2 linked regions of the Xenopus tropicalis genome follow. The protein of the gene in region 2 purifies or fractionates together with the protein of the main gene of each other region. This does not show direct contact. Links are inferred from orthologs where the notes say so. Each region holds a gene or a part of one and is shown on either strand. Other genes may lie near its edges.

Region 1 (3,753 bases), on a different chromosome or scaffold from region 2:
GCTCCTATTCACTACCTGCAGTTCTAGTAATTATGGCTCTCTCTCTGTTAATATGGGACTGATTCAGCAAGCCAATAAGTCTAATGGCTGTGTATGGCCACCATAAAGCTTTAGGTTAAAAATTTTGAAAGGCAGTGAGCAAGGTTTGAGCACATTTTAGAGTACAATGTGCATCATTTTAAAGTTCAAAGATAAATTCAAACATTTGGTCACGTATAATATATATGCCAGCATACATTACAGTATTAAAATTGGTGGCACGACAGGAGTGACATTACTAAAGATGCAGCAACAGTTACAAAAGAATTGGTTATCAATATCACAAAACTGGAAATGTGCACTTGTCTGCACTACAATTTAAGAAGAGCTACAAATAATGGCTACTAGAGTAAATCAGGCCAGCAGATTGTCTAGCAGCACCACAGAATTTCCAAGGCAGTTTTCACTCAGAGCTTATTTCTATGATAGTCACTGAATTCCAAATCAACTGGAACAAGTTCAAGTATGCCAGGCATCTCAGTGCAGCAAGGTGGGTGCACTCTGATTTGCCCCCATGTTGTGTGGTTGTAGGGAAGGAACCTCCAGCTTCCAGCATAGGTAGACTGCTGGGTTGTGCAGTAGCTGGAGGGGGTTCTCTCTGTTATAATAACTATCCCACCCATTGAGATAGAAAATCGATGCGTTTAATGTTAAGATCACCCGAACACATTGGATTTTGGCCTGAGCCTCATTGGACTCTTGAGAGGTTTATCCTCCTGCTCATAAGTGTCTCTAGAGGACAGGTTGTTATGGATTATCTGAGTCCTAAATCGGATTTTATTGAGTCTTGGCTTCCCCTTTACCCCAGACCCCTTCCTGTAGATATCTGTTCTGCTGCCTCCTGCGCCGGGCCCTTCCGGTTGCTCCTCCGGTAGCTGAGAGAGCCGGTGTACAATGAGCTGGGAGGGGAGCACCTTAGAGAGCCGCCAGCGGCCCGAGCCCGTATTCCCTCCTTCCTCCTCTTCTCCCCCTGCGCTGGGCAGAGCACCCACCAGCCCCTGTACATCATGGGTCGTGCTTGGGCCAAGGTACTGCCAGGCTTTCCTGCCACTGTAGTCCCTTATATCCACATCGGCATCGTATGCCCCTATGAGCAGCTTAATAACGTCCAGGTGTCCGTGCATGGCAGCCAAGTGCAGAGCCGTGTAACCCCCCGCAGCCCGGGCATTGATATTGACGGGCACACGGTGCTGGTGCGCATAGGAGAGGAGAGCAGCCAGGAGCTCATGCTGCCCGTGCTTGGCGGCCCAGTGCAGGCAGGAGAAGCCGGTGATGAAGTCCCTGCGGGTGATGAGGCCGGGCTCGTTGCTCAGTAGCTCCCGTAAGCTCTCCCAGCGGCCCCGGCACGAACTGAGCATCCAGGCGTGTTCCACAGGGTCCAGTGCCGCCTGCCCGTGTGCCGCGCCGCCCTCCTCCTCCTCGTTTCCCGACACCGAAGACGAGCTGTGAAGGGACGAGCTGTCCGAGTCTCGCATCCCGGCCCGAAGCAGCGGGGGGCCCCGGCGGAACTGGGGGGACACGGGATCCCGCACACCCCTGCGGCTGCCCCTTGGAGTCCTACCGCTGGGAAGGAAAACCTCCGGGGAGCCAGGGCACTGCTTTAGTGACCCGGGGACGCTCTTATTTCCCTCCTTCTCCTGCGGCTGCTGAGCGGCTCCCCCTGGGGCTTCGGTGACGGAGATGCTGGGAGGTGACGGCAAGTCCTTGCTTTCCCCCTCGGAGCTGTGCCCTGGGGACTCGCTGGCCGCCTCATGGTCACTAGCCGAGCTCTCTGATGAGGGCGCTCCCGTTCCGCTCTCTCGGTATTTTTTCCGCAGACAGACATATCTCACCCCGGCCTCTTCCTTCACGGTTGCCAATTCATTCACAATGTCCTTAAAGCGGCTGCGGACAGATTCCCGGGACTCCCCCGCTGGCGGCTCATTCAGCAGCTCCTTGAAGTGTCCCAGTAGATTCTGATTTGGTACCCGGCCGCCTTGCTCGCTTAGGAAGCGGATAACTGATTCCCGACTCAGCCCGGTCATGACTGAGCGGTTAAGGCGGCGAGCTTGGAACAAGGCATGTCAGCTCCTCCCAGCGGGTAGGCTCGGCGGGGGCGGGCAAGGCAAGTGCCCGTGGGAATTATAGAGACACAGCTACGGACCGAAAGTGCGGCGACGTGTAAGGTAAAGCTACTGTTCAAATCAAACCCCAACCTCCCCCGCATCGATGACTTACAAAATCTGTTCCCTTCTCTGGTACCCAACGTGGGCTGCACCACTTTCAGTAGATGGGGGCGATGCTGAAACTCTAAACCAATCATGTGCGTCCGAGCTCCCCGCCCAATACAGCGCCGAACCAGTCACGGACTTATCCCATCTGCCTGTGGCTTGTGTGAGATTGTTTGTACAGAGCAAGCTGAGTTGGGAAAGCTACAGGCGGTCGTGGGATGAATTATGCGATCTCTATCGCTCTTTTATCTTCGGCGCATGTTCAGCTGCAGATGAACTTGACCTGCGACCCTCAGTCATAGTTTGGCCTCTGCCTCGGGTCTGTTGTTATTAAAGTTGGCACAGAAAGGGAAAACGAAGAGAACTCAAGGGCATCCAGGGGAATTCCAACTCTGTTAACTACACGGCTAGCGGGAAGCTTTCCCATCAATCACTTTTAGTTAGGGTAACCTTAATTGCCCAGGGCATAGATGATTGGAAATCTTCACGGCCTACATCTTGTCATATACTACCTGTATATTATTATAGTTGAGTAAACATTTTTTAGTATTGTATCAAATGTGACCTAATTGGTTTTCTTTATTTTTATGTATTTCAAGTTATGTATGTATGTATGTATGTATAACTTTATTTATAAAGTGCCACAAGGGTACGCAGCACTGTACAATCTTACAGAATACAAAATTACACACAGGGAGGATGAGTGATATAATAAATAAATACATATATGTATATATATATATAAGTGCCATGTGGTATGAGACACAGTAGGAAGGAGGTCCCTGCCCCGTAGAGCTTACAATCTAAGTAAAGTTATTTGCCTTCTACATCTTTCCAGCTTTCAAGTGAGGGTGACTGACCCTGGAAGCCAAAAAACTATTTCTCTGTGAGCTTACAATTTCATTGTTTTTTGTTACTTTTTATCATTTATTTTCTTTTTCTAGTACAATCAAATACTGCCTGGTTGCTAAGGTAAACAGGCCCCTGGAAACCAGATAGCTGCTGAATTTCCAAATTGGAGAGCTGATAAACAAAAAGCTAAATGACTGAAAAATCACAAATAATAAAAAATGAGAACCAATTGCGAATTGTCTCAGAATATCATTGTCTACATCATACTACAAGTTAATTTTAAGTTGAACAGACCCTTTAACATAAATAACAGCAATTAAAGCCCCAAATGCACATGGCTTATATGTTCTGTTTCCTGAATTGTATCACTTTCCGAGTGCAAGTTGTTCAGGGACCTCAGGCTGATAAGCAGGCACTTTGAAGAATATACCTATCAGGTCACAATTCCAGCAAAGAAGCCTAATCATTCCAGGCATCAGTACTACTGGTATTGCACAGACCTAAACCTAACACCCATTTCACAGAAGGTCTGGGCCCCCTTGGCTCAAACATTTATAAATTCTTGGAAAAACTGGTGTAACAATACCACTGCCTTAGTTAAAGTAATGCTGCAATGGGAAAACATGTTTTTCTCAAAATACATCAGTTAATA
Region 2 (3,753 bases):
GTCTCTCCAACCTTTGATAAAGAGAGAAACAGAATAAGCAACATGACACTTATCAACACTCTAATCTCAAGCGCTAATACTCTGTTGGGTGCCATTATCAATCATTATTCATATTTTGGGCTTGTAGTCGCTGCCTTCGTACTTACCCTCCAGACACGGAGGTAATCCCCGCTGGTGGCTAACAGATCTGGATATACTCCTTTAGTGTCGGGGATCCACATAAGCTTTGTTGTAGGATACGGGTGATCAAATGTGTTTCGGCAAATGAATTCAGAGCTCTCTTCATCCAGTCCTACTAGCTGTACCTAAAAAAAGAAAAAAAAAAAAGAAAGAAAAATCAATTCCTGAATGAAAGATTGGTTAATACAGTGAAATGGTACAAATTAAACCACTCACGTGCAGGACCTGAGCCACTCCTACTTCCTAGCATTACCATTCATACAGCAAACATTTCTGTACAGATATCACCTAAATTTGTGGGATCACCAAACTAGTGGGCTTTTGCTTGATGTGGCCACTCACATGCTTGGCTAAATTGGATTTATTTGATCGTTTGGCCAAACAATTGGACCTGTGGCAACCCATCGGGAGAGGGCCTTATCAACATAACTACACAGCCCTCGCATGACTTCACTTCCTAAAGTGATACTAACAGCAGCAAAAACGCCAAACCTGGAAGCTAGAGATATAAAAATGTTTTAAAACCTCAACAAAACATAAAATGAAGAGTTATCGCCACTTGTCTAAGAATGCAGCTGTCTTAACCATACCCTAAGTTGATAATTAGGTGAAATACACTTAATTTGCGTATTATAAAAGGCTTGGTGTTTATTAACTATGCAATATCCCCCCCCCCCCCCCCCCTACAATACAAAGGAGATAATTTATGTATATGGTATTAAGCTCCTAAAGTCACGGCTGCCAGCAGGGTGGGTACAAAGGTTATTGACCCAGGGGCCCAAGAGATTTGATTGTACAATTCGGGGGGTCAGAGCTTGTGGGTGAGAAGGTGGGTTGGTTGAATTGTGGGTGGGTTTACAGTATTAAGGTGGGACGCAACTGGAGCTGAATCTGGAATGTGCCAATAATCAGGGTGTGTTCATGTTTCCAGGGGCCCCATTTTACTTCTACCTGGAGGGGGGAGGTCCCTGCTATTTAAGGTGGCCACACACGTGACCCGCCACTAAAGGTGGCCATACACGTGGCGATCTGACGATGTTTCGTACGACCATCGGTCGCACGAAACATCGTAAGATCCGCCACACACCATTCAGGGCTGAATCGGCAGGTAAGGAGGTAGAAACAATAGGATTTCTACCTCCTTCTGCCGATTCAGCTCTGAAAGGAGAATTTTGGTCAGGCGCCTTCTATGGCGCCCGATCAAAATTTTCAAACTGGTCCGATCGGCGAGTCGTCCGATATCAGCAGCTTCCTGCGATATCGGTCGACTCGCCGACATGCCATACATGCACCGATTATCGTACGAAACGAGGTTTCGTACGATAATATCGGTGCGTGTATGGCCACCTTAACCGTTCAGGGCTGAAAAGGCAGATAAGGAGGTAGAAACAATAGGATTTCTACCTCCTTCTGCCGATTCAGCCCTGACGTCAGATTTTGCTCAGGCGCCTTCTATGGTGCCCGATCAAAATCTTTTGACCTGGCCGATCGGCGAGTCGACCGATATCAGGAGCCTCCTGCGATACCGGTCGACTCGCCGACTTGCCATACACACACCGAATATCGTACGAAACGAGGTTTCATACAATATTATCGGTGCGTGTATGGCCAGCTTTAGAGGTATGGGGCTCAGGGATTCCTCATTGCAGCCCTGTCTGAAGACAAATGCAGTTTATACAAGCGGAAGCTAACACTGGGCATACACTGATACAAACTACCAACACAGCCCCACCAGACCAAGTCTCGTGTATGGGCCCCACCAACACCTGGCATCTATTTGCCAAACATTTAGTCAGTCATCTATTGGGCACTCCAGAAAAAAAACCATCAGAAGGGGAGCACATTGGATAGATCTACATTTTCATAATCTAATCTTTGTTCCAGGGGCCACAGCGGCAGAGGTTGTCAGACATTTTTAGACCACTGCCCCCCTCCTTCACCAGAAATAATTTATCCCTAAGTCCTGATGTGATTGGCCTTTAAAACTTCATCTCTCAATTGGATTTGGGCCCCAGTTTAAAATCCTACTCTAAAGCAAAACACACAGTCTGTACATGAGTCAGGTCACTGTACACTTACATAGCAATGTATTTATAAGCAGATTGTGTGAGGGTTTTTAAATGACCCTTTAATAGATCTAAATGACAGTTTACTGCTGTAATCTTTATATAATATATATATTATATATATATATATATATATATATATATATATATATACATACACACACACACCAAGCAGATTGAATTCATGTTATATGTGTATCATCTGGATACAACCCACACAGCTGTAACACAGAACTATCCACATTCACTGAGCATTCTGGGAGATGTAGTGCAACTCTACCCAGTTGAAGGAGGGAAGGATAGTTAACCCTTTACACTAAGCGCATACTTCTAGGCACCTTATTGTTATATTCCTCAACAAAGCTCCCCAACGCCAAGCGGAACCTCTTGTCCGGCCTCACACTCCAGTTCATAGCATAGACGGTCCATGGCGCCTCGTACTTATAAATCTCCTTCCTTTTCCCGTGCAGGGACATGGCTGGAGCTGCTTTGCTAACACGGTTACCGGGACACGATCGCCGAAGCCTTTTAGAAGCAGATACGCAGGCGCTTGCTCTCGGCCGCCTCTTATTGGTGCCAAACTACAAGCCAACCAGAACGTCCCCAGAAACAAAACAACGCTCACAGTACAGCGCCGATGATTGGCTCTTTCCAACCCCTTCTCACGCTTTGATTTGTTACTGCTGCAAAAAGGGGAGGGCTTTTCTAACCGAAGAGCTGATTGGGTTATGCCGCTTGTCTAGACTTCATTTCCTGTATGTCTGGTTTCCTGCGCTTTCTGATTGGTGTATAGCAGTCAACATCCTGCAGTAGAGAGAGGCGTGGAACGCAAAGAGTCGCGGTTTATTTTACAGAAACATTCTATTGAACGTACTCCGGATTCTATATTTCAGGTAGTTATCACGTTTTTTTTCTTATACATTTTGGTTGCCTGTAAAAACCTTGGTTTTTGGTCTCTTTTCCTAGTTACAAAAAAACAAGTTCCAGACGACCCGTTGCATAGAAGTTTAGTGTATTTGTGCAGACCTTTATAGTGACTTACATGTATATACAGCTGTATATGTTTTTTTACAAGATTGTGACTACTATGGTTTTCCTGAGCAGGAGTCAGATATAAGTCGCTGTTCTCAATCTATAACTTTAGGCCCTGCAATCTGTCGTTTTTTCAGGATCCAAGTCTGATATCCGCGACATACGCTTGTGGAAGTGCGTCATGCCTCGAACAAAAGAGATTTCTGAACACCTCCGCCAAACTGTTATTGATGCTCACCAGGCTGGGAAAGGCTACAAAACTATTTCTAAAGAGTTGGAACTCCACCGCTCCACTGTCAGGCATATTGTGCACAAATGGAGGCAATTCCATACCGTTGTTTCCCGCCCCAGGAGTGGACGGCCAACAAAGATCACACCAAAAGCAAGACAAGTAATACTCCAGGAAATCGTAAAGGACCCAGGGCTAACATCTAAGGAACTAAAGGCCTCTCTTGCATTGGCCAATGTCAATGTT

What was found.
Region 1: the proteins of dcaf7 (region 2) and sowahc purify together in Homo sapiens (affinity purification with mass spectrometry; 4 studies listed by BioGRID and IntAct, counting the BioPlex papers as one, with this or other methods). This does not show direct contact. The link is inferred for Xenopus tropicalis from reciprocal best matches to the Homo sapiens genes DCAF7 and SOWAHC.

What each region holds. Positions count from the first base shown.
Region 1 is NC_030678.2:111,887,717-111,891,469, forward strand, and holds the start of sowahc (ankyrin repeat domain-containing protein SOWAHC), read right to left. Parts: upstream 2,579-3,753; 5' UTR 2,064-2,578; coding exon 696-2,063; 3' UTR 1-695.
Region 2 is NC_030686.2:16,437,465-16,441,217, forward strand, and holds the start of dcaf7 (DDB1- and CUL4-associated factor 7), read right to left. Parts: upstream 2,796-3,753; 5' UTR 2,723-2,795; coding exon 2,585-2,722; intron 306-2,584; coding exon 147-305; intron 12-146; coding exon 1-11. Other genes in the region: uncharacterized protein LOC116407961, read left to right, coding at 3,460-3,753. UniProt on the Homo sapiens protein: Involved in craniofacial development. Acts upstream of the EDN1 pathway and is required for formation of the upper jaw equivalent, the palatoquadrate. The activity required for EDN1 pathway function differs between the first and second arches.